Linked DNA regions of Canis lupus familiaris. The protein of the gene in region 2 purifies or fractionates together with the protein of the main gene of each other region. This does not show direct contact. Links are inferred from orthologs where the notes say so. Each region holds a gene or a part of one and is shown on either strand. Other genes may lie near its edges.

Region 1 (6,146 bases), on a different chromosome or scaffold from region 2:
TGATAGTCACAGAGAGAGAGAGAGGCAGAGAGACACAGGCAGAGGGAGAAGCAGGCTCCATGCACTGGGAGCCCGATGTGGGATTCGATCCCGGGTCTCCAGGATCGCGCCCTGGGCCAAAGGCAGGCGCCAAACCGCTGCGCCACCCAGGGATCCCCAAATAATATTCTTTTCATGGATACACCACACATTGTTTATCCAACCATCAGTGGATGGACACTTGAGTTGTTTTTAGCTATTATGAATAATGCTGCTGTGATCATTTGGGTATAAATTTTTATGTGGACGTATGTTTTCATTTCTTTTGACTATATATCTAGGAGTAAAATTGTTGAGTCCTACGTTAACTCTGTTTCATCTTTAGAGGAAATGCCAGACTGTTTTCCAAAGTGGCTGTATCATTTTACCTGCCCACCAGTGGTATATAGAGGTTCCAATTTCTCCACATCCTTGTCAACACTTACTACTGTCTTTGTTATTATAGCCATCGCGTCAGTAGAAAATGGTACCCCAATGCACTTTTAAGATGCAAAACCATAAAAATACATTATTCAAGGAAGTAAAATCTTTTCTGAAAAGGGAAAGAATGAAGAGATTACGAAAAGGACCCCATAGTCAGGCTGGAAAAGGAAGCAGGAGAGGTTTCTAAGTTTGTTAATTTCACGTCCTTAGACAGCCAACTGCCCTTCAAAGTGTCAGGATTGTAGAGCCAGCCCTCAGTTTCATAGCTGGAGCTTACAATAATCAGACCAACAAGAACTAATCTGGGTCTATGATTTATTTTACAAAGTTCCCTCCCACATTCTAGCCCATTTGATCCAACACCACAAATCTTATGTGGAAGGATATTACTATTCCCATTCTGCAGGTAGACTGAGGCCCAGAGTGGCTGACTTGGTCAAGGGAATATGGTTAAAAATATGTACATACGTATATACATACATGTGTTTCATGAATATTAAAGTGTCTTTATATAATAAGCATTAAATAAAATGCACAGAGCTGGGCCTGGAAGCCAAATTTTTTATTTCAAATCCCAATCCTTGGTGTCCCCATTTCTCATCACTTTCATCTGCCTCATCTCTGATGATCAAGAAAGCAATGGGAAAGTAAGGGAAGACAAAAGGGAGTTGTATGCGAAACAGGTAGGAGGCCTGCACATCATGAAGTCCCCCCAGTCACAGCAGCTCAGGATGTTAGGACGTGTTGTGACACGGCTTTCGAGGATGGTTGCATCCCCACCCCTTCATGAGAGGTTCCTCCAGTAACAAGAAGCCAGGGCATACTTACATCCCTAAATTCTGAACATATCATCTGTACTGTAGCATATTTAATCATGTATACTACTAGTCACTCAAATATGTATTGAGTAATAACTATGTGCTAGACCCAGTGCTAACATGGTTGAGACTTAAAAAGCAATGATTACAAAGTAAATTTAAATCGTAAACAAAATTTTCTAAGCCCTTCACATAGACCATCTCATTTAATCTTCACAATATTCTTGCAAGAGATGTGGAAACAGGCACAGAGCATTAAGTAAATTGACCCCAAAGTCACAGAACTATTCAACAATGGTGGAGGCAAGTAAGAACCCAGGCAGCCTGATTCTATACCCCATGTTCTTAACCACCACCCAATCCTTCCTGGCAGATCTCGCTTGGCTGAAAGTCACATGTGGTGACATGCATAAACCAATAATACTGATTAATTCCAGCAACCATTGTTGAATGCTCATTAGTACAGAAGCTCAAGGGCAAATTCCCACAACAACCCCATGAAGTGCTTATCTTCATTGCCACTTTATAGATGAGGAAACAAAGGCTCAGAGAAGTGAGTTAACTTGTCCAAGGTCACAGAGCTATAATAGCTAATGCGGACATGGTGCTTACTATATACCAGGTGCTGTTGTTCTTTTTTTTTTTTTTCTTAATATTTTATCTATTTCTTTGAGAGAGACAGAGATAGCAAGAGAACACCAGTGGAGGTGAGAGGGAGAAGCAGGCTCCCTGCTCAGCGGACGTGGGGCTCCATTCCAGGATCCAGGGATCATGACCTGAACCAAATGTAGCTGCTTTACGGACTGAGCCACCCAGGCGCCCCCAAGCACTGTTCTAAGCACTAACTCATCTAATCCTCATAACACTAGGAGGTGGGTTCCATTATTACCCAGCATTCGTAGTTAAGTAACTTGTTCATGGTCTCAAGCTTCTGTAAAGGGCAAACCCAGGACTCACTCTAGCAGCTGTCTTGGAAACTTAAGGGTGACCACTGGCTACAAAGTGGCTAAGCAGAAAATCAAACCCAGGTCTAACTCTTGAGTGAAAGAGAGAGAGCCTCCTTTCTTCTTTCCACCAAGCTAAGCGTGGCCCTCAACCCTACTGCAGTACAGGAAGAGGGGAATAACAACTGAAGACCCTCCAAAGAAGGGGCATTCAAGTTGCCTCTTGAGGGCTTACGTGCTTACTGGTCAAAGAGAGGCACCATGCAGTTTGTTATTTTAAAAGAAATGCAGGGCGCCTGGGTGGCCCAGTTGGTTGTCTGACTCTTGGTTTTGGCTCAAGTCGTGATCTCAGGGTGGTGAGACTGGTTGGCTCTCAGCGAGGAGTCTGTTTTCTCTCTCCCTTTGCCCCTCTCCTCCTCTCAAATAAATAAATGAATCTTTCTTAAAAAAAAAAAATGAAAAGTACCCAACTGAGGTCTTCAAAAAAGAGGATACAGTAATGAGAAGCAAATAAATTATTAAAAAGCAAATGTTTCAGATTGAATCAGGAAAGCTTTCAATTTTTATTCAATGAGAAAATACTCTTGATGAAGGAAAAGCAAGCCTTTATTCCCTTTAATTTTGATTACGCATTTAAAAATCATTGAGGGATTGAAGAGTGCAATTTGCCTTCTATAACGTTAAACTCAACAAACCCTAACTTCCAACATTTACTTCCTCAATGTAACTGCTGCAAGCAAAGTGGTTACTAAACCTTCATAGACCCTTTGCAAAGATGACCTCTCCTTCAGGTCCCGAAACTGAGCGTCTAGAAACCAAAATGAGCCTGGAGATTCGGGCCAAGCTTCAGAAGGAACGGGCACGCGCCCCGTTCCAGCTGGGCCAGGGGCCGGCACGCAAGTTGCAGCTCAAACTGGCTTCAGAGCCAGTCCCCCCCCCCCCCCCCCAGCCCACGGCAAACTGATTTATGACCGTACGACGGGCAGCTGCGGAACTGGTCAGACCGCAGAAGTCCATTACTCAAACACCAATCCAAGGATGGCCAGGATGGGATGCGAATCGGTAAGGGGAGGGGGCTGGGATCTGGGGTTCACTGCCTGTCCCGGGTGCGGTGAGGCCGGTCGCTTCCTAATTCCTGCAGCAGCCCGGGGCCTGTGGACTCTGCTCTGCAAAACCTGTGCGCTGGCGGAGCTGGCGGGGCTGCAGGGCGCCGGGACAGGGTGCCTCCACGCCCCCTCGCGGACCGGCCGACGACGGAGGAGGCCGTGCCGATTTAGTGCTGGGTGTTTTTCCGAACCTGGGGTTTAGCGCCCCCCCCGACACACACACACACACAACGCCCCGTCAAGGGGGTCCGGGCGATCAGCCTCATTTTACAGATGCAAACGCCGAGGGTCGGAGGAGCGCAGCGGGGCTTGCCGGCCAAGTGGAAAGCCCCGAGTGGAGGCAATGGCCGGGTTGGCCCTCTCGTCGAGGAGGCTGGAGGGCTGCAGCGCCTGGGGCGCACACCCAGCCCCTCGCCCTCCCGACGCCCGAGGGGTCGGCCGGCAGCCCGGAGGCCCGGCAGCGCGCAGGTGCCCGGCGGAGCGCGCGCGGGGCGCAGGGCTGCAGCGGCGGCCGAGGCGCAGCGCGCACCCCCGCTCCCCTGCGCGCGTGCAGACCGCAGGGCGCCGGGCTGCAGCAGCCGGGCAGGGGCGCACCGCCCGCCCGAGCCAGCGCGTGTGCGCGCCGGGCTGCTGCCGACACGGGCTGGCGGCGCCCCCGGGCGCGCCCCGGCGCCGCCCCGCGCCTTACCGTAGCTGCTCCCCGGTGACCAGGACCTCAGCCATGCGCTCCAGCTCCCTTTGCTGCGCCCCGCCGCTCCCGCCCGTGCTGCCGTCGCTGCCGCCGCTGCCCCCGCTGCCGCCCTCCATGCTCGCGCCGCGTCGCTCCCACTGTCTTCCTTAGCCGCCGCGGGTTTGGGTGTTAAATCAGCCTGCCCCTACGGAGGCCTCCCCCGCCATCTTTGTTAGGGGCAGGCCGGCGGCTCAGCCGCGATTGGCTGCGGAGGGAATCCCGGTGGGTGGGCTGGAGCGCGAGGCTGGTCCGCCCCTGGGACTCGGGCTTCGGGGGCGGCGGCTGGAGCCCCGCGTGGCCGGGGGCGGGGCCGAGGGAGCAAAATATAAACATGTGGGCGGGGCTCCGGGGCTGCGGGGCGGGGGCTGCGGGCCCCGGCGGCCACCTGCCCGGGGCCGTCCCCTCCGAGCGCGCGGCGGGGCCTTGCGGACAGGCCAGGAGGTGACAGGCGTAAAGGTGTTGCTATCATCCTGTCTGTGCTCCAAATGGCCCGAGTAAAAACACGAGCAAAATAGCTAAATAGTGAGCACTGGAGGATCCACACGTCACCGCAGCGGTGGGTGAAATTAGGCATTCTCGTCCCCATCCCCCTGCACCAGAGGCAGCTTCCTAACCTCAGAGCGTAATCAATAAAGAACGCGGGCCTGGGAATCAGGCAGACCTGGGATCCGGCTCCGCGCCTGTAATTTCCTACCAAAATGTGCTTCATCTTCATTTTCTTCTTTTGCAAAATAAAGATAATTGTGGCTGCCACTTGTTGACATCTACTGCATTAGAGTAAAGGGGTATCTGTGTGTTGAGGTTTTATGCAGCTTTTAACAATTTTTGCATATATATATACGTCTCTGCACCTTTACAGGTATATGGGATTTTTTTTTCTTTTAGTGAAAACTATATGGAAAGACAATCTTTTAATTGCAGATTTGTTGTAAGTCTACAGAATAAAAAATGAAAATGGGAGGGCTGTGGAGAAACAAATGATTTTCTTTGTATATTTTATACCAATTCTACTCAAAACTGTTTATACCCACTCTCCTTCAGGCTTATTGTATTTTATTGTTGTGTTTTCTTCTTGTCATTTGTTTTTAAAGATCACTGTAGCCTTTTCCAACATTCTACAAGATCATTACTTAAAATTTACAACAATTCATTGAGCATTTATTGTGTGCTTTATATGTTGTTAAGCACTTTATATTATTTACTTTATCCTCACAAAAACCCTGAGAGTTGGGTATTATTATTGTCAACATACAATTGGAAAATCTTAAACATGCAAAGGTGAAGTGATCTGCCTAGATTTCACACCTAGAAAGTCCGTTAGGCAGCCCTTGAGCCCTAGGTCTGGAGACTCTCAAGGTTATGCTCAACCATACTCCAGAAAGAGAACAATTGTCCAACTCCCTTATAAATTCGACGATAGCAATTAGGCAATTCTTTCACAAGAGAAATTATCTAACTTTTATAACTTTTAAAATAAACCATGGCAAAAGTGTAGAGCAAGCAAGACATAGTTCAAAATGCATGTTATTCTAAGAGCTTCATTCTGTATAATATATAAAAATCATTTAACAGGGCGGCCCAGGTGGCTCAGCGGTTTAGCGCTGCCTTCAGCCCAGGGGTTGATCCTGGAGTCCCGGGATTGAGTCCCTCTCCCTCTGCCTGTGTCTCTGCCTTTCTCTCTCCTGTGTCTCTCATGAATAAATAAATAAAATATTTTAAAAAATCATTTAACAGAAGTAGAGGTCCCAGAATTAATGAGCTTAACAGCTGGCTGTCACTTACGTTTTAATTGTATAACATAGAATGTGCTGCTTACCTTCTCAGAGCCTCCATCTCCTGACAGGAATAATAATTCCTACCTTATATGGATGTTGTGTGGCTTAATAACATTGTGTGAAGCTTTCATGTACATAATATGTGTTTAAAAGTTCTCTTTAATATCTTTACTGCTTTTATTTTTTTAAATATTTTATTTATTTATTCATGATAGACATAGGGAGAGAGAGAGAGAGATGCAGAGACAGAAGCAGGCTCCGTGCAGGGAGTCCCATGCAGAACTCGATCCTGGGTCTCCAGGATCACACCC
Region 2 (5,637 bases):
AAAATTTTCAGAGTTGGAAATACTGCTCCAGATGAACAGGGCCATCAGTTCCCAGGACACAGCCAAGTAAAAGGCTTCTCATCCTCTAGGTTGGACACCCTTAGTAATCAAAATGCCATCATCAATGGTTACAATGGCTCTAAGTCTTCCTGTAACCAGAGCAAAGGACTTTGCTTCCAGGGTACCTGTTGTGTCTAATGGATGAAGAACCGGTTTTAGGGGCTTTCTCAACAAACACCTTTCTTTGATCCCTCTTCTAATGAACAGTGGTGGTGGGTAGATTAATAACAGGGGCAGAGGGGGAATTTTGAGTGTTTGGTTGATGGTGATTTTTTTTTTTTTTAAATAAAAGAACTGAAAAACAGAGAAAAAGAAGATTCTTACATCCCAAAACTGAATTTGAAGGACTTTATCTGTGTTAAATTGATAGGACCTGGGGAACCATTTAGGAAAACAGTTTTAAAAAACAGGAACTACATCAACTGCCGATGTGAAAACCCACAATATGTAGGATGCCAATTTCGATCTTATTTTAGTATGACCATAAAGATCTAGCCTGACACTGGAATTCTGCAACGCTGAGGCACCTAATAAACACTAACCACCTTGGTTCCTATCAACGGGAAACCCAAATCACAACACTGCCCCAAAGGGAAGGTGAATTCAATGAGCAAGGTTAAACATGGGGAGGTACTCACCTGAAACGGGTAAAGTGCAGACTGTTATCTGGAAATGTAAGTGTATGTTCTGGAGGGAGAACGGGTCTCGTTCTGGGCACTGGGAGGCACATTTAAGAAATCCCAAATCAAAATAGTGTCATCATGGGAGCTGCTGATGATCTGAAATTCATCAAACTGTAGCCGGAACACACGTCCAGAATGTTCCTGTGAAATTTAACAGCTTGATGAGTAAAATGAAACCTTTAGAATCCCTCGTATCTCATGATCAGTGATTTGGTGCAGGCTGAAAATGTAGCTACTTATCCAATGCTTCCTAAATAATATTCCAGAGCTTACTGAGCTTTGTCCTTTACCCTGGGAGCAAATACCTTGGCTTTTCCTTCTAAGCCTTTTTTTTTTAATTAATCTTTGTATCGGAGATCCTGGCTCATTAATATGTTGAAGAAAAAAACTATGCGATCACTTCGCCAAGGATCTTGGAAAGGTAAACAACCATATTAAATACCCATGCATGATACACTGTAAAAAGCAGAGCCAGAAGGATGTTTTTAACATTACCAAGAATATCTCAACCACAGCCAAAATCAAAATTAATGGTGAAACAGAAGCATTCTCATTAAAATAAAGAAAAGAAAAATAGTCCTAATCACAGTACTGCATGTTCTAATCAGTGCAAGAAGCAAAAAAATAGAAATAAAAGGTAAAGCTACTGAAAATAAGAACAAGTCTATCAATATTTTCAAACAACTGTCTCCTCATTAATGTAACAAAAGCAACCAGACTATTAGAAATAATGAGCCTGCCAAAGTTGCTAAAACAAGATTAACACATAAAAATAAGGTATTTTTATATGCCAAAGCAATAATCCATACAATATAGATTAAGGGGAAATTCCATCATAATACAAACATGTGCTATATTATAAAAATATAACGTAACCAGATACCCATATTAAGAAATCTCCCAAATCTACAGGAAATACTTTGTACTCTAGAGGAAACCAATCCACCTACAAATGAGGATGCCTGCTTTCACATATTAAGTTGTATTAATGCTCCTTGGGAAAGAGCTCCCTGTAATGTAAATGTCAGTTATTCTCTGCTTTTGGCTAAACAAAATGAACAAAACAGCGCATTTCTCTGAAGGCACACTGTGATGAGATACACAAGCTTTCTTGTGATACACCTAGGCAGGTCTATCTGCAGGTATCATCTTCCAGGGCAGGAACCACTCCCATTTCAACAGATTACATACCACCAATGTGCGCAAACACAAAGTGCTTGCTGGGGCTCGAGGGTCAAGAGCAGCTTGCAAGTCCCAAACTTTAATTTTCCTAGAAAATAAATGGAGATTGCGATTAGTAGAAAAGTTAACAACATTTCATATACCGTCAGGAACTTCCTTGATAGAAAAAAGTACATCTGAACTGCTATTAGAAAAGCTAATGGAGGGATCCCTGGGTGGCGCAGCGGTTTGGCGCCTGCCTTTGGCCCAGGGCGCGATCCTGAAGACCCGGGATCGAATCCCACATCGGGCTCCCGGTGCATGGAGCCTGCTTCTCCCTCTGCCTGTGTCTCTGCCTCTCTCTCTCTCTCTGTGACTATCATAAATAAATAAAAATTAAAAAAAAAAAAAAAAAAAAAAAAAAAAAGAAAAGCTAATGGAGACTGCTTATGTCGTAACAAGTCATTTAAACCATTTACACTTGATTTTGAAAAAAAAAATAAGGACCTACACATTCTCGGAATTATTGAAACTGTGAAGAAATATTTTTTAAGGGAGATGAGAAAACAACTTCAGGCTATCTAAATTCAGTTCCTGACCTGATAATCTATGTCACCAAATTCATTAATCAGAGGGCTTTCTGGAGCTGAGTAGGTGCTGCTGACAGAAGCTAGGACTCTCTGTGAAATTCCAAGGATACCTTTCTTCGAACTAAGCAAAGGAGTATAAACAGACCAACTAGTCCATTTGTGAAGTATACATAAAGTCACCTTGAAAGGTTTACAGTTGCCATTTGCTCATTTAAAAAGTCCTGAGGCTTTTTTAAAAAAGAGTGTTTAACCAAAGGGTAAAGGAAATGGACCACTGAACACACACACACACACACACACACACGCACGCACACACAGCTAACTTAATTTAGGACTGAGGCAAAGAATGGAATTCCTGTACAACCTAAGCTACTTACAAAGTTTACAATAATGGTTACACTAATGGTTAAAAGTGTAAGCATAGGAGTTACAGAAGCTATCCTACTGTAAGACTTGGGGCAAGACCACTCATCCTTCTGGGCCTGAGCGGCTTCACCTGATCAAGTGGTATAATAACATCTGCCATCCATTACACAGATCTAGCACAGAATTGGCACATACATAGTTGCTTAATATACAGCGCTTGTTTTTCCTCTAGATACAGTGATAGTAGTGTATTTAAAAATTTGAAATACATACCCATCATAGGCCCCACTGACAATCCTCTTGTTATCAAACCGGATGCATCGGACCAATTCTTCATGTCCCTCTAGGACTCTTAAACAGGCACCACATTCAATATCCCATAGCCTTGAAAGTAAAACAGATCTCTGTGAAACAACTTCCCACACATGATTCACACTATCCTTGAGTTCTTCATGTCTGTCCCATTCATGATTTTCACTCTCCTGAACTTGTTTCTATCTTCACTCCCAGTCCACATTATACACGTAGAAAGATACATATGTATATTTAGATCATTTGTATATTTTAAAGCACTAATTTGGCGGACACAGGGCTAGCTGAGTCAGAAGAGCATGTGACTCTTGATCTCAGGGTCATGAGTTCGAGCCCCATGTTAGGTGTAGAGAATACTTAAATAAATAAAAACATTTTTTTTTTTTTAAAGAGACTAAATTGGGTAGAAGCCTTCTCATTATATTTCCTTTTATTCAGTTTTTTAATCACATGCATGTATTACTATTCTTTTAATTTTTATTCGGCATTCTTTTAATGTCTGAATTGATGAAACCACGTAGCTAAATGGTATAACAAGGACTTTCCTGGGGGAGACAGGGATTGCAGGCAGTAAAGAGAAAGAAAAGGCATGTGTGTGGGTTGAGGAGAGGATATAGTATGTACAGCCAGGGGTGTTAGGCTTCCAGGCCAGGCACTTCTGGCCTGGAATCCATGAGGCCTGCTAAAGTTAGAACCAGTACACGAGGGGCACCTGGGTGGCTCAGTGGTTGAGCATCTGCCTTTGGCTCAGGTCATGATCCTGGGGTCCTGCGATCAAGTCCCACATCGGGCTCCCCATGGGGAGCCACCTTCTCCCTCTGCCTATGTCTCTGCCTCTCTGTGTCCCTCATGAATAAATAAATAAAATCTTTAAAAAAAAAAGAACCAGTTCATGAGCATGGAGGTTTCCCTCTCCTGATGAGGCTTAGGGACACCCCCTCTTAGATGATACTGCATATTAGGGTTGTCCAGTTTATGAGGTCATAGTGGGAGCCTCTTATTAGGTATATGAAGCATCTCAGAAATATAAACCCACACAATATCCAGACTTTTTCTTGGTGTATGATTTATATGTGAAACTGAAATTTTCACATTTTTCTATCATTGGTTTTCCTACATTGTTTGCAAAAAGAAATCATAAGCACGTACAAAACAAAGTTAGCAAACTAATTCTGTAACAACCTTTTCTTAGCCTCTCTACAAGTAGCTCTTACCATCCGCCCCATGAATATTTTATGACAGCCACCCTCAGCAAATCTTCTCATCAGTGTCAGGGACACTGGCTTCTCTAATCTACTGTGAACAGTGTCATTTAGCACTACCACTGACTCCAAAGTGGTCCCCTCTATAAACTGTAAAGGAATACACATTATCACTTTGTAAAACCTCAGAGAGTCCAGTGAGAAAGTTAAGGACTGTCTACTGCTGAAATAGTTAAGTAATAGAAAGCATCAAGACTCAGGTTCTCATGGTACTTTCATAATACCTTAAAAACTTAAAACGATAAAACTCACAGCAGTTTCGGCTCTATCATTGTGGTTTCATTCCCTCCTTCCTTCTTTTTTTTTTAAACCAATCTTTATTTTGCCCAAACATTAAACAATTTGGTTAGAAAAAAAGCCAGGACAATGGAAAAATGACTAAGGATTAGTAAACAGATATTTAAGATAAATATTATAAAATAATATAACAAAGATTAAATATTTAAGATTTTTTTTAATATTTAAGATATTTAATAAAATGTTTAAGGTCTGTCATATTTACTAGAAAGCAAGGTCACTGAGTGTTGGGAGATAAAATACAGGCATAACAGGAGTGGATGATCCTGTAGCACAGTCTTGTACAAGACAAAGTACGCTCGTCCCATGTGCTAGTGAGGAAGAGAGGAGGTACAGGTAAGGGAAAGTGGTGAGTCAAGCCAGAGCATCCTTTGTTCTGAGGGGTTTGGGTATTAAGGGATCTTGGGTGGAGCAGACGTTATAAAACATGTGTCTTGGGGGAATCAGTTTATCTGCTTCAGTATGCAGAGCCAAACAGATTAATAAAAGTCATATACAGTTTTCTTACTTGAAGTATCCCTGAAGGTTCAAAGTCTTTCGAACATCAAGACTGGGAGGAGTCAAAAATATGGCAAAAATCGGCCTGCTCTGGCAGCACACCAACTTCTACCCACCTTATGGTATTATCTGATGATCCACTAACAACCAGCCGATCCCTGTACTGGAGACAGGCAATGCCTCGCTTGTGCCCATTCAGAGTACGAACAAATTCACAGGTACTTGTGCTCCAGACCTGTATAATAGATTATCAGTATTTTAAGAACAAATGCAGAAAAGTCCCCTCACAATTCACCTTTTTACAAAAATCAGAGCTTCTGAGAATGACCAAAATACTTGACTATGAAATATGATTTGGGGGCTGGGGGACAGATTGGCCAGCATACAGTTTTCTTGGCTGTGGAGGGA
Region 3 (6,287 bases), on a different chromosome or scaffold from region 2:
TTATAAAATACACCTAAAATTTAACACTATAACAATTTTAAGTGTGTATACATAATTCAATGGCATCAAGCACATTCAAAATGTTGCCCAGCCATCACCATCACCCATGCCCAGAATTCTTTCATCATCACAAACAGAACCTCTGTGTACCGGTAAACACTAATTCCCCAATTCCTCGCTCCTCAGCCCCTAAAAACATCTATTCTACGTTCTATCTCTGTGAGTTTGCCTATTCTCAGTATCTCCTATAAGTGGAATCACACAATTTTTGTCCTTTTGTGTCTGGCTTATTTCACTTATTAGCATGTTTTCAAGGTTCATCCACGTTGTAGCACATATAAGAAATCCATGCCCTTAATGGCTGAATAATACTCCACTGTATGTGTACACCAGGCTTTGTTCATCCGTTCATCTGCTGATGGGATGCAGGGTGGTTTTAACAATAATTAAATATAAAGCATCAGATGTAAATAATACCACAATAAGAAATAAACCAAAGGAATGAATAAAGCATCTGGCAAATAGTAGGCGCTTTACTGTCTTTTCCCTTTGTCTCTGTCAAATTTTTGTACCATGTAGTAGCAAGATATGGAACCATTTTAGAAACATATCAGCTATGCCTTTTGAGATGTTATTGCTAATCTACACTTATCATTTTAAAAGAATGAAGAACATCCCAATAAATGATGTGTAATTACGCTGACACTACTTCCTTCAGTTTTAGCTTCAAAACCTACCACGAATTATTCCAGTAAAGAACTCATCAATTTTAACTAGACAGCTTTCAGTTAAAAGATTTACTACTGTCTCCGACACTTTCTCCTTTTATTTTTGGACAAGGACCATCAATACTGACATCAAATCAAATTAAGCAGATACTATATGCAAGGTATCCAGACGACTCATCAAGCTTCTCTCTAGCTGCCTGAAATACCAAATATGAATAGCAAAAGAATACCTAAAGGATATAGAATTTTGAGTATCTTAGAGTATTACAACTAGGAGAAACCTTGAAACTTACCCACATTGATGATTATTTTTCTTTACAATTGCTGCATCTCAAAGAGGGAGAAAAACACCTTCCAAAGTTCCATCACAATATAAACATTAACATAACCTGTAGTATGCTTTGCAAAGTTCCTTTGTCAAATTATTCCCCCATATTTCCTTCATTCAACTATTAAACCCTCTATTCTCCAGCAACTACTAGGTATACAAAGAAAAACAAGACAGAGCCTCTGCCTCAAAGCACTTAGAGCGCAGTGAAGGTGCCAGATGCATAAACAAGTGATTACAATACAATTTGATACACGCTATAATAAAAGTATGAACAAAGCCCTGTGGAACACAAGGGTGCCTGGGAATTCGGGGAAGGCCTCTAGAAGGCAAAGGTATCATCTGATTGTGAACCTCTCTCTGAATTTAATGAGCTGTTCATCTCCACTCATGCTCTCCCCGAAAGATTTCACCTGTATATGCAATCTTTCATAATGCACAGAAAATGTTTTCATCGTTTGTAGGGACATAAAGAATCCAAGGCAAATCCGTGTATCATTTCTAATTGACCTTAGAATACATTAGACGCTAGAAGAACTTCATTTGTCAGTTTCTAAGAAGCAGATCAACTTTCTTAATCACTATTTAGGCCAATACAGAAATTCACACTCCTTGAGCATGCCAGCTCAAGGGATGGCAGATAATCTAGAAAAACGTCACTAGGACTTGGAGAAATCTGCTTAAAATTTTTAAATAGCCAAAGCTGGCATAAAAGTCTCAGAACTGGGGATCCCTGGGTGGCTCAGCGGTTTAGCGCCTGCCTTTGGCCCAGGGCTCGGTCCTGGAGTCCCCAGATCCAGTCTGTCGTCAGGCTCCCAGCATGGAGCCTGCTTCTCCCTCCTCCTGTGTCTCTGCCTCTCTGTCTCTGTCTCTCTCTCTTTATGTCTATCATAAATGTCTCAGAACTTTTATTTTGCCCTAAATCAACAAGTGTTTTTTTTTAATCACTGCTACTTAAAAGTGACTTGTATATACTCACAATTCAACCAGAAAAAAAAAAAAAATCTAAGCCAAAGCCCCAAAAAGGCTTTTTAAAAAATTTTTGTGGCACGTATAAGGACAGTAATTATCAATTACAGAATACACAAGGGAAAAACTAGAATTTATCCTAAAAGATCCAAATTTCTGCCAAGATCTGCATAACTCATCTCCTAACAGTGGGCAAGAACTATCAGGACTTTTTAATAGATAATTATCAGCAACTAAATCTAAACATCATTTAAGCATCTCAACCCTGAGGCAGCACCTGGGACGTCCGTTCAACGGTGTCCAACAGTCTCTGCAAAATATTCGTAATAAAGACTTTCACACTGCGTTTCTTTTGTCTCCATTTTTATGCAACCAGAAGACAGTAGGTGCACATTAGCTCTTTATCAGAACGCAAATAAAGAAGAGTGCCTGTGGGTCTCTAAATTCCTTTTCTTTGAATATGTTCGGTTTCCACAAAAATCAGAAAGGAAGATGCAATTTTCCTAAGTTTCCAAGAGTTTAAACATCCCGTATCCTGATCGGTCTACAAAAACACATACAGGAATCTTTACACATAGGACTAGAATCCCATCTAGCCCCAACTTAGACCCTACGAAAAGAACATCAAGATACATCTCAACCATTTTCGTCTTCCTGCATATAAGATCATCAATAAAGTGGTCAGGCTCTGAACACCTGTCCACTTTATTCCTAAATATGAAAAAGAGTTGCTAATGCTCACGGAAAGAAGAGTGATGAAAAACCACCTCCAAAGCCCCAGAGAAGTACAGATCATAATTCAACCGTACGAGCACTGGACTTTTTTTTTTTTTTAAGATTTTTTTTTTCTTCTTCTTCCCCAAAGGTTGCTTTAGGTAATTTTCAAACGCCAAAGAATGCAACCGCTGAGCTCCGGAACCAAGAAAGCAAACCGTGTGGAATACTTTTCAATTCCAGAGCCGGGTTGTTATTTCCACACGGATCTTTTAAGTTTTACGGGTCCTGTGCTGCAAACAAAGGAAGTTTAGCTTGACTGCGGGCAGCACACGTTGGGTTTCTTAGGCGACACACGCTGTCTGCGTCCAGGCTTTCCTGCCTCCCCAAACCTATTGTTCGGGGGAAGTTAAGACCCGTCCGTGGGAAGGAGCTCGTCAGCCTCCAGACGCGCGTCGGTCCCGCGCCCGCCCGCCCCTCCGCCCGCCCGCAGGGTGCTCGCCGCCGTCCCGCCGCGGGGCCTGGGGCCGGCCGCCTGCGGGGCAGCGGGTTTCCTCGGCACCTGCCGCCCCCTCCGACGCACCCCACCGGTTGGCCAGGGCGGCCCGCGGCTGCTTTTCTCTCTTGGGGACGGCGATTCTTTGCAAAGTGGGAACTCCCCGAGACGCGCCGAGTTCACCCAAGTTTTCCGAAAAGAGCACGCTCCTCGGCTCGTCCCGTTTCCCGAAAGGGACCCCGCGGCACGGACTCCGTGGGGACGAGGAGACGGGGGAGGGGAGGGAGGGCGAGAGGGGACCCCGCAGGCCCAGGAAGCCGAGACGGGGCGGACGGCCCGGCCCTGCCCGGCCCTGCCCGGCCCTGCCCTGCCCGCAAACTTAGGAGAAGGGCGGCCCGGCACCGCCTCGTCCGCGCGGCCGCCCCAGCCCCGGCTCCGCTCGCCGGGCCCGCGCGCGGGGAGGGGGCGCGGGGCGCGGGGCGCGGGGAGGGGGCGCGGGGCGCGGGAGGGGGCGCGGGGCGAGAGGCGAGGGGCCGAGCGCCCGCCGCCGGGCTCCCCGCGCCGCCCCCGCCCGCTGTCAGGCCCGCGGGGCTGCCCCGAGACGCCGGCCGCCCTTTGTCTGCGTGCGCGCCCGGCGGCGCGGTCCCACCAACTTGTGTGCGCCCCGCGCCCCGTCCCGCCCGGGCGCCCCGCCGCGGCGCTCCACACAAAGGAGCCCGCGCGCCCGGACGGCGGACGGCGGGCGCCCCCAGCCCAGCCAGCCCGGCGCCCGCGGACGACCCCTCCGCACGCCCCCCCCGCCCCCGCCCCCCGCCTCGGGCGCCCGCGGCCCCCGCCCGGCCCCCGCCCCGCCCCCGCTCCCGCCCCCGCCCCGCGGCATCCCCGCGCCCCCCGCCCGCCGCGCCGGCGCCCGCGACACCCCGCTCGGGGCGACACCCGCACGGGCAGCGCGGCGTTGGGGATGTCCCGGCGCCGCCGCCGCCCCCCGCCGGGCTCCAGGGCCCCGCCGCCGGCCGGCCCGACAGCGGCGCGTTACCTGCGCCCCGCGCCCAGCCCGCGCCGCTCCCGCTCCCGCTCCCGCTCCCGCCGCTCCCGCCGCCGCCGCCGCCGCCGCCGGGGCCCCACCGCCTTCTGCGTCCCAGCGGGTGTCGGGCGCTCCCGGACCGAGCGCCAAACCCGGCAGCCCAATCGCCAGCGCTTTTATTTGGCCCCCCCTGTCCAACTAAGCGCCGCCCCGATTGGCGGGCCGCGGCGGGCTCCCGTCCAATCACAGGGCCCGCCGGGCTCGGAGGCGCCGCGCCAGCCCCACGCAGAGGCGCCCGCGGGACTCGGCCGGGCCGGGCGGGCGGCGCGTGCGCGCGGGCGCGGGCGCGGGCGCGGGCGGGCGCTGAGGGACGCGGCCGCCGAGTGGAAGCGCCGCGCCGTTTCTTTGTTCTTTGGCGGAACGCACGGCGCCTCGCGGGAAGGCGGGAAGGCGGGAAGGCGGGCGGGCGGGCGGGCGGGGACGCGGGGGCCTGCGCAGCGCCGGGCCCGGGCGGGGAGGGCGGGGTGGCGGGAACCGGCCGGAGGGCGGGACGGCGCGCTCGCGGCGCTTGGCGGGAACCGCCGCCTCGGAGTTCCCGGGCCCGAGAGGCGGGGCGGGGCCGAAAGCCAAGTTTGAACCAGTTCAAAACTCGGGGGTGGTAACGGTTGCAACTGCCGCGCTCTTTTCCCCGCGCGCCGGGCCGGGCCGGGCGGGGAGCGCGGGGCCGGGGCCGGGGCCGGGGTGGGGCCGGGGGCGGGGGCGGGGGCGGCGCACCGGGTTAGAGACCCGGGCTGCAGGGGCGCCCCGCACCTGGGCCCGGGGCAGACGCCGAGCCCGGACCCTGGCAGCGCGCGTGTCGGCGTGCAGGGAAGATGAAAGAGAATCCTTGCTCAAGGACCGCTGTGGTTCCCTCGCCTCCTGCTAATGCTTCTGGAAAACGAAAACCCTTTTCGATGATCATTAGGTGATCTTGGAGGAAAACCTTGTCGCACCGGGAGGAATCGGGGACGTGTCGGGTTTTAGGGCACAGTCTCCTCCCCCTTTGGCTCTCGTCTGTCGAGGAAGTCAAGATTGGGCCGAATTTATTTAGCAGGACGCAGTTATATAGTTAGTTATAGGATGCAACTGTGCAGTGGTAGGATGCGAACATCACTCATGCGAACTGGGGTTCCATGCTGAGAGTCAGACCCCGGGTCACCTACGAACTGTTGAGTCTAAAACCCTAAGGACACCGTGTTTCTTTTATATATGTATATTTAGTATTATAATATTGTAATATATTATCATATATTAATATAATATTATGTTAATAGTAAATTTAATATATTAACATAATATTATATATTATATGTATGATTTTTTTTAATTAGCTCAGACTTTTTAATGACTCAAGTCTTGGTCTGGTGATTTAAGCCATAATTTTCCCACCTTTTCCTAAATCATCGTCCAGTTGCTCAGCTGTATTCCCGACCAATTCAATGTCAGGATTACATGCGGCGGGAAGCCACAGAGGAAAATAACCGTGTGCCCAAATGGAAGCACGGTTATGAACATAGAATAAGTGCAAGAGTAGGTTGTGCATGTGAGATGTAACTGTGAAATAACGCAAAAATCCATCTACCAAACACCCAACAGCCACCAATACATTCTTACTCCGAGGTGAAAGGTTCCCATCTAGACCAGCGATTTACAACTCCCTTTTTAAACAGCAATTTAAACCTCAGAAGTTAACTACTTATCCCTAAATTGCTTGTCAAGTTACTAGCTTTACCTGTACTCTATTAAATATTAAAACAATGTGCTCATTATTGAAAGAAAGGTCAAGAAAATAACATTAACCGAGGTTATCAGAAAGCGAATCAAAGACCTATATGAACACATCCAGCATAGTGTGAAAGGTCATAGGAATCGCTAGGGCATTTAGAATCAAGGAACGATGTTGGATCAAGGTGCTTCCACTGCCACACACACACACACACACACACACACATGCACACAAATCTCAGAACAGGAAGTTTTACTTGGACC
Region 4 (6,385 bases), on a different chromosome or scaffold from region 2:
CGTTTTCTGGTGTATGCCTTGCGCTCTGCCCGCAACGTGCGACCCCCAGAGATAGACGTGGTCAGGGTGACACACGGCCTGCAATGAAGTTCCCGCTGGCGGGTACAAACAAGGTATAATGTCAGAGTTAGAAGACAACATTCTTGTTTTCCTTAAGTTGTACCCATTTCAGTACTTTACCTGTTAATAGTTCTAAAAAAGTTTAATTATTCCTCTAGACCACCTGGTACACAAAGCAAACAGAAAAACTCTTAAGTTTTTCTGTAATACTAAAGAAAGTGAGATAAGACTTTTAAAGTTAAAGATCTATAGACACTTTAGGCAAAACGGGCTCATAAAGCAATTAAAAAATTAACAATTTAGTAAAAACAGACTACGTAATATTTTGTTTTTACTTATTTTTCATTTGTCTATTGATCTTTAAATTAAATTATAGATATTTCCACTGGTTTCTTGTACTCTTACACACACCTGTTTTCTCCAATGTCCTCCTTTAGTATGGCTGGTAATTGTTTTGGTGATTGCCACCCCCTCTAGACGCCTTGCCGTAAGTGCTCTGTTGGCCTATTTTGAAAATACAAAAAAAATTATATTAAGATAGTTTTCCACAAAATGGTTTCATTATAAATACTTTAGAAAACTATTAAAAATGTACAACTCTGCATGCCAAATATTAAAATAGCAGATATATTAAATGCCCATTATAAACTAATCACATAACACATATTCTAAAACGTTTCTAACAACCAAAATATCTACATTAGGATAATCAACCTAGGACTATCAGATGCCTCAAAAACTTAACTCCAAAACACTTCAAGAATGGACCCCCCCCCAATTTCAGAACGAGAATGTACTTTAACACGGAATTCTAATACCATTGGTGTATGAGATTAAGTTAAATATTCTTACCACTGTAGTCTGCATATCCCTGTCCATATCCATAGTTCCCATAGTTATACCCAGTATAATCATAGCCGCCATAGCCACTATAGTTTTGATCACCACCATAGGCACTATTGTAATTTCCATATCCTTGATCATAATAGTTATTAAATCCTTGGTTCCAGTTTTGGCCCTGACCTGAAACAATGCACAATGATTGTTAGGAAACGACTTCTGACTCCCAATCCTAATACAATGTTGTGTTCCTGGCCCTCACTCTGAAAACCCTTAACAGGTGGAATGGACAGCTATATTGTTACCTGAGAAAGTTTTTATTCTAGTTGTGGTTAAAAAGGGGGCAGAAAGTCCAATTGTGCCAGTTATCAAGCTTCCTAAATTTAAGGAAAATCAAGACAAAACAAGGACTCCTGTCCCCCAAAAAACTAGCATGCCATGGTGTATCATGTAATCTCAACTACATTAAATGGTCATCACCTTGCCATTAGTAAGGACACTGACAGTGTCCTAGTGGCCATTCTTTGAGGAGGCGAAACCAGTAAACAAAAACCCACCCACCAATGAGAGCATTTTTATGTTGGAAATCTGGCTGAATTTTCTTATGGGCTTATTCCTATTTAGCAGTTTACAGCCTAAACCATGGGGAGTCATATCCAAAGATTTAGGTCCCAAAGGATTAAGTCTCACCTCGTCCACGACCCCTAGTACCACCTCGTCCACCAGCTGCAGCACCTCTTCCTCCTTTTTGTTGTTGCTGTTGCTGCCTATATACCTCTTTGGGTTGTGCAACTTTGATTTCACACTATATACACATAAGAAAAAAAAAAAAAAAAACCTGGAGTTTTTACTGTAAGGTCAAGCCATTCTATTCTCATAAATTGAGAAATCTCACATTCGAAAACAAAAAACATCCTCTAAATTTTCACTTAATAAAAACAAAATGGCTTTACCTTCCCAGAACCAATTTGATGATATCTGCTTTCTAACAATTTCTTTACTGGCTCTTCGTCTGTATAGGTAATAAAACAAAATCCTCTTCTTTCGTTTGTTTTTGTATCCATGGGAAGTTCAATATTTTCAATCTGAAATCAAGAAGCACATTCAACATCATCCAGTAATGGTAAAAGCTACCAAAGTGTTTTAGAATTCCAAAGATTCTTTTCAAACTTCAGTATAACATGTTGTCTATTCCTCTAGTCAGATTACTTCTGTACAGAAACACCTATTTTATTATCAGTATCACACCACAAAGCTTCATCTGTGAAGCAGTTAGAGAGCAAAACTTCATTTATTATCATTTTGTACCCAAGAGATGCCACTGGTTATTAATTCCAAATACTGACCACCACCTCCAAAGCACCCGTGTTTTGGCCAAAATAAATTAGATGTTGGTTTCTATCACAGCACAGAAAACAGTAATTTAAGGTACAGTGACTAGAAGGGACTCAAGCAGTTAATTTTAACCTCTTCCCATCACCTGACAAATCAATCAATTCTGTAAAAGGCTGGGGACGAACACTCATGTATATAAACATTCCAAGTATGAAAGACATATAAAAACACAGCGCACCTCTCCAAAGGCTCCAAAATATTCTTTAATTTGTTCTTCGGAAGTATCTGGGCTCAATCCACCCACAAAAACCTTTTTTGGGGGTTCTTTCCCTTTTAAAGCTTTGGCCCTTTTGGGGTCTATCAACTTGCCATCCAGTTTGTGTTCTTTCAGTTCCAAAACCTAGAAGACAAGTGCGTTTAATCTGACAATATACAACCAAACCCCCAATTTGCAAAAACACAGAAGCAGCACAATGCGGAACCTGCTCCTACCTTATCAACACTAGCAGCATCTTTGAAAAGCACAAATCCAAATCCTCTTGATCTTCCAGTCACTGGATCTGTCTTAATTGTACAGTCTACAACTTCCCCAAATCGAGACAAATATTCAGTCAGATCTTTCTTGCTTGTATCCCAGCTCAAGCCTCCAATAAACATTTTACTAGAAATGAAGTTATTAAAAAAAAAAAAGATTAGCAGCACCCCGCAGGATTACCTCAGTTGGGGAATTAGGTTTACGAAACGAACAGGAAGAAGCAATGCGTGTGCAAATAATTCAGTGTCTACAGATCACGTATGAACAAAAGACCACAAAACCCCTCAGATTCCATCGAGGTCACTTATTCGAAACAACGAATGGACAGCTTGCTCACCACACCTCGTCATACGAAGTTTCAACGAAGCCAAGAAAGCATATTCAACATCGCTTCAGCCTTATAAACCCAACTTCCTAAAGTTGATCCCTCACAACTTAGGTCTACTCTACCTCTTCCGCAGCTGTCAAAGCAACGTTCCACCTCAAGAACTCCCAACGCATTCTGAAGGAGATCCGGGTACCAGTCACACACGGATTCCCAAAGCAAGGATTCCCTACACTCCGCAGGGAAGCCGTGCGGGGGCCCCGATACAGACACAATGAAAAGGCGGCGGCAGCTGCAGCATGTGGCGCAGCGAGGCCGGCCCCTCCCCCTCGGGCCCCACGCGGCGCCTGCGCACTCGGGACACGGACGCCGCCGCCCTCCTCCTCCAACTCCCCCGCCCTTCCCCCACCTTCCGCGGGCCTCTCGAGTCACCCCCTCCGTCTCCTACTTTCTTCTTCCCTCTGAGCGAGTGGGGCCCAGCGGGCACGCGGGGAATCGACTCGGGGCAAGAGCCGTGGCAGCGCGCGGCTCCAGAGGGACGAAAGGCGCGTGCGGCGCGCTGGGGGAGGGGGAAAAGAAGAGAGAGGCGTGCGGTACCCGTCATCCTGCTGATTCTTGCTCGCGTTGATCTTGGATCCCTCTGCGAACTCCTCTATGTTGCTGTACTCGTTCATGTCCTCCATGGCGGCGGAGTTGTCGGCCGGGGGGTGCTGGCGCGCAGTCCGGGTCGCGGCAGCAGCGGCGGCGGAGCGTTGTATGGAGCTGGATTTAAAATGGCGGCGGAAGAGATCCGGGCGCCGCCTGCGCCCTCCCTTTATAGCCGCCCCGCCCGCCAATCGGGAGGGCTGCTGGGCGGTGACGTGGCGTTGGGCCCGGCGCGCCCCCTGCCGGGCCGAGCTGGAAGCGAGCGAAGGGAGGAGCGGGGCGAGCTGCCGCGGCGCCCGCGGCCGCCAATGGGAAAGGCTGCGGGAGGCTAAAGTCGCGGGAGCGGAGGGGAACAATGGCGGCGGCACATGGGAGAGCCGGGGCGGGACCTCCATCGCGGCCCTCCCGGTGAGGAGCGAGGTCGTGGGTGAGGGGGCGCGGGCTTAAGAGGAGAGAAGCGTCAGAAGAGGAAAACGAAGGGGCGAAGAGTCCCGGGCTCAGGAGTCCGAGCAGCGCCGTCGCAGGGCCACCGTCCCTCCGGTCTTGAGAGCCTTTGTCTCTGGCGTCCGGTCCAGCCCACTGCTAGCAAAGAGCCGTCAGCCCCGCCTCTTCCCAAAGCCCTCGGTCCCCCAGTGCGGACTGCGGCGGCGGCGGGGGCGGCGGCGGCGGCGGCCGCTGCTCTCGATTAGCACCGTGGCCGGGCTGCTCCCGACACAGGCGGACTGCGCCCGGCGCCGGCGGCCGAGACAGCGAGCGCGCCCGCCCGCCCGTCCGCCCGCCGCGCGCACGCGTGTTTCGTCCTCGAGCCGGCTGGAACCAGCCGAGCAGGAAGCGGGCGCGCGGGGGCCTCCGCAGCCGGTCGGCCGGAGCCCGGGCCCACGCAGTCAGGCCGGCCAGTCCCAGTCCCGGCCCCGGCACGGCCTCTCCGGCAGGCTGCGGGCGGGAGGAGGGCCGCGAGCCCGGCCCGGTTACTGTAAACACGCCAAAGCGGAGGCGGTGGGCGGGGAGGGGGTAGGTGCCGTAGGGGGCAAGGGGCACTCACATCCCCGGCGCGCCACTCGCGGGGCTCCCGTCTGCACGTGCCCCGGGCCGCTCCCGCTCGCTCCACCAGTCTGCGGAGGGCGCGCGCGCGCCCGCGCACCCGGCTCCCGCGCTCGCTTCTTTGTTCCCGCCCACGCGAGGCCCACGTGGACGGGCCGCGTTCGGGGCCCTCTGGTGGCCAATCGGCGTCGCCGCCTGTGCCCGCCCCCGCCCGCTCGGGCTCCGCGAGGCCGCCCCTCCCCCCGCCCACGTGGTGTCGGCCTCGGGCCCGGGCTGCTGGGTGGCGGCGGACGCCCGTGCCGCGGTGCTGTGCGCCTTGGGCGGCGCGGCCCTGCCCCTCGTGCTCCGGGCCGCACGCGGGTGCCGGGCGGCACGTTCCCGCGGGGCCGTGGGCAGCCCAGGACCGTGTCGGGGCGCAGTGGGCGCCGCCCTCCGCCCTCCCGCTAGTAGGCCGATTCCGGTGCTTGCATCCGGCAGGGAGATGGTCGTGCTTCCCGTGCCCGCCGAAGTCACCGTCATCCTGTTAGATGTCGAAGGTACCACAACCCCGATTGCTTTCGTGAAGGTGAGGGGCGGAAGGGAGCGGTGCTTGAAAGCAATTAAAAACATTTCTTTCTTTCTTTTCTTTTAAGTGCTGCCCACCCTGGACCAGAGACCTGACCTAAGGCGTGGGAGAGGCGGCGTGGCGCTGCACTCGCCGTGGGGGGAGGGAGTAGAAAGGCTGCCGTGCGGCAGGTTGCGGGGATAGGCCCTTCGTCGCCAGCCCCTGCTCTCGGTCAGATGCCGATGGGTGGGACGCGGGTGGGGACGGGATGGTGGCTGGCGGAGGGGGGCGGCGGCGGGCAGACCCGCCCGCGTGGGGAGACGGGGCGCCCCGCCCCCTCCGCCAGGTGCGCTGCGTCCGCCGGGCTCTGGGCTGGCTTCGGCGCGGCGGCGGCGGCGGCGGCGGGGGCCTGGAGGCTTCCAGTCCCTAAGACGTGGACGGGAGTGTCAGGATGGCTTTTTTTTTTTTTTTAATATTTATTTATTTATGATAGTCACACGGAGAGAGAGCGAGAGGCAGAGACATAGGCAGAGGGAGAAGCAGGCTCCATGCACCGGGAGCCCGATGTGGGACTCGACCCCGGGTCTCCAGGATCGCGCCCTGGGCCAAAGGCAGGCGCCAAACCGCGGCGCCACCCGGGGATCCCCTCAAGATGACTTTTCAGGTAGCCCGGCTGACTCGCCCCTTTTCACTCCTGCTGGTAATGGCCGAGTAGCACTCTTCGTGTTATTGGACTGTTAATCACTGTGGAACGCTGATTCATTAGCCTGTAGCACAAAAAGGTCTAGATTCCGTTCATTTTTCTCTGAAAATCATGGAAACTTGAAGCTCTTGCCCAAAGCCTCTATCCTAGGGCGTCACTATTAACCAAGCAACTGTCTACACCTACTTCGTAGGCTTATTCGCGAGCTCTGCGTTATAGCTGGGCTTTAAAAAATTTTACCTATATTCGGGCGGCCCCGGGTGGCTCACTGGTTTAGCCAGGATGTGGTCCTGGAGTCCCGGGATCGAGTCCCGCAGCAGGCTCCCCGCATGGAGCCTGCTTCTCCCTCTGCCCCCC

What was found. Proteins that work in one complex are often made in the same cells at the same time.
Region 1: the proteins of FBXW11 (region 2) and DEPTOR purify together in Homo sapiens (affinity purification with western blotting; 4 studies listed by BioGRID, with this or other methods). This does not show direct contact. The link is inferred for Canis lupus familiaris from reciprocal best matches to the Homo sapiens genes FBXW11 and DEPTOR.
Region 3: the proteins of FBXW11 (region 2) and EZH2 purify together in Homo sapiens (affinity purification with mass spectrometry; 3 studies listed by BioGRID and IntAct, with this or other methods). This does not show direct contact. The link is inferred for Canis lupus familiaris from reciprocal best matches to the Homo sapiens genes FBXW11 and EZH2.
Region 4: the proteins of FBXW11 (region 2) and HNRNPDL purify together in Homo sapiens (affinity purification with mass spectrometry; 3 studies listed by BioGRID and IntAct, with this or other methods). This does not show direct contact. The link is inferred for Canis lupus familiaris from reciprocal best matches to the Homo sapiens genes FBXW11 and HNRNPDL.

The regions. Positions count from the first base shown.
Region 1 is NC_049234.1:19,244,207-19,250,352, reverse strand, and holds the start of DEPTOR (DEP domain-containing mTOR-interacting protein), read right to left. Parts: upstream 4,327-6,146; 5' UTR 4,138-4,326; coding exon 4,019-4,137; intron 3,287-4,018; coding exon of another isoform or gene 3,192-3,286; intron 1-3,191. Other genes in the region: reticulon-3-like, read left to right, coding at 3,192-3,286. UniProt on the Homo sapiens protein: Negative regulator of the mTORC1 and mTORC2 complexes: inhibits the protein kinase activity of MTOR, thereby inactivating both complexes. DEPTOR inhibits mTORC1 and mTORC2 to induce autophagy.
Region 2 is NC_049225.1:41,240,500-41,246,136, reverse strand, and holds part of FBXW11 (F-box/WD repeat-containing protein 11), read right to left. Parts: intron 5,465-5,637; coding exon 5,346-5,464; intron 3,245-5,345; coding exon 3,134-3,244; intron 2,014-3,133; coding exon 1,935-2,013; intron 885-1,934; coding exon 723-884; 3' UTR 699-722; intron 195-698; exon of another isoform or gene 1-194.
Region 3 is NC_049237.1:1,579,203-1,585,489, reverse strand, and holds the start of EZH2 (histone-lysine N-methyltransferase EZH2), read right to left. Parts: upstream 4,327-6,287; 5' UTR 4,272-4,326; intron 1-4,271. UniProt on the Homo sapiens protein: Polycomb group (PcG) protein. Catalytic subunit of the PRC2/EED-EZH2 complex, which methylates 'Lys-9' (H3K9me) and 'Lys-27' (H3K27me) of histone H3, leading to transcriptional repression of the affected target gene.
Region 4 is NC_049253.1:33,592,612-33,598,996, reverse strand, and holds the start of HNRNPDL (heterogeneous nuclear ribonucleoprotein D-like), read right to left. Parts: upstream 4,327-6,385; 5' UTR 4,136-4,326; coding exon 3,693-4,135; intron 2,897-3,692; coding exon 2,728-2,896; intron 2,636-2,727; coding exon 2,474-2,635; intron 1,986-2,473; coding exon 1,854-1,985; intron 1,706-1,853; coding exon 1,591-1,705; intron 1,084-1,590; coding exon 913-1,083; intron 565-912; coding exon 494-564; 3' UTR 472-493; intron 96-471; exon of another isoform or gene 1-95. Other genes in the region: ENOPH1 (enolase-phosphatase E1), read left to right, coding at 5,263-5,346. UniProt on the Homo sapiens protein: Acts as a transcriptional regulator. Promotes transcription repression. Promotes transcription activation in differentiated myotubes. Binds to double- and single-stranded DNA sequences. Binds to the transcription suppressor CATR sequence of the COX5B promoter.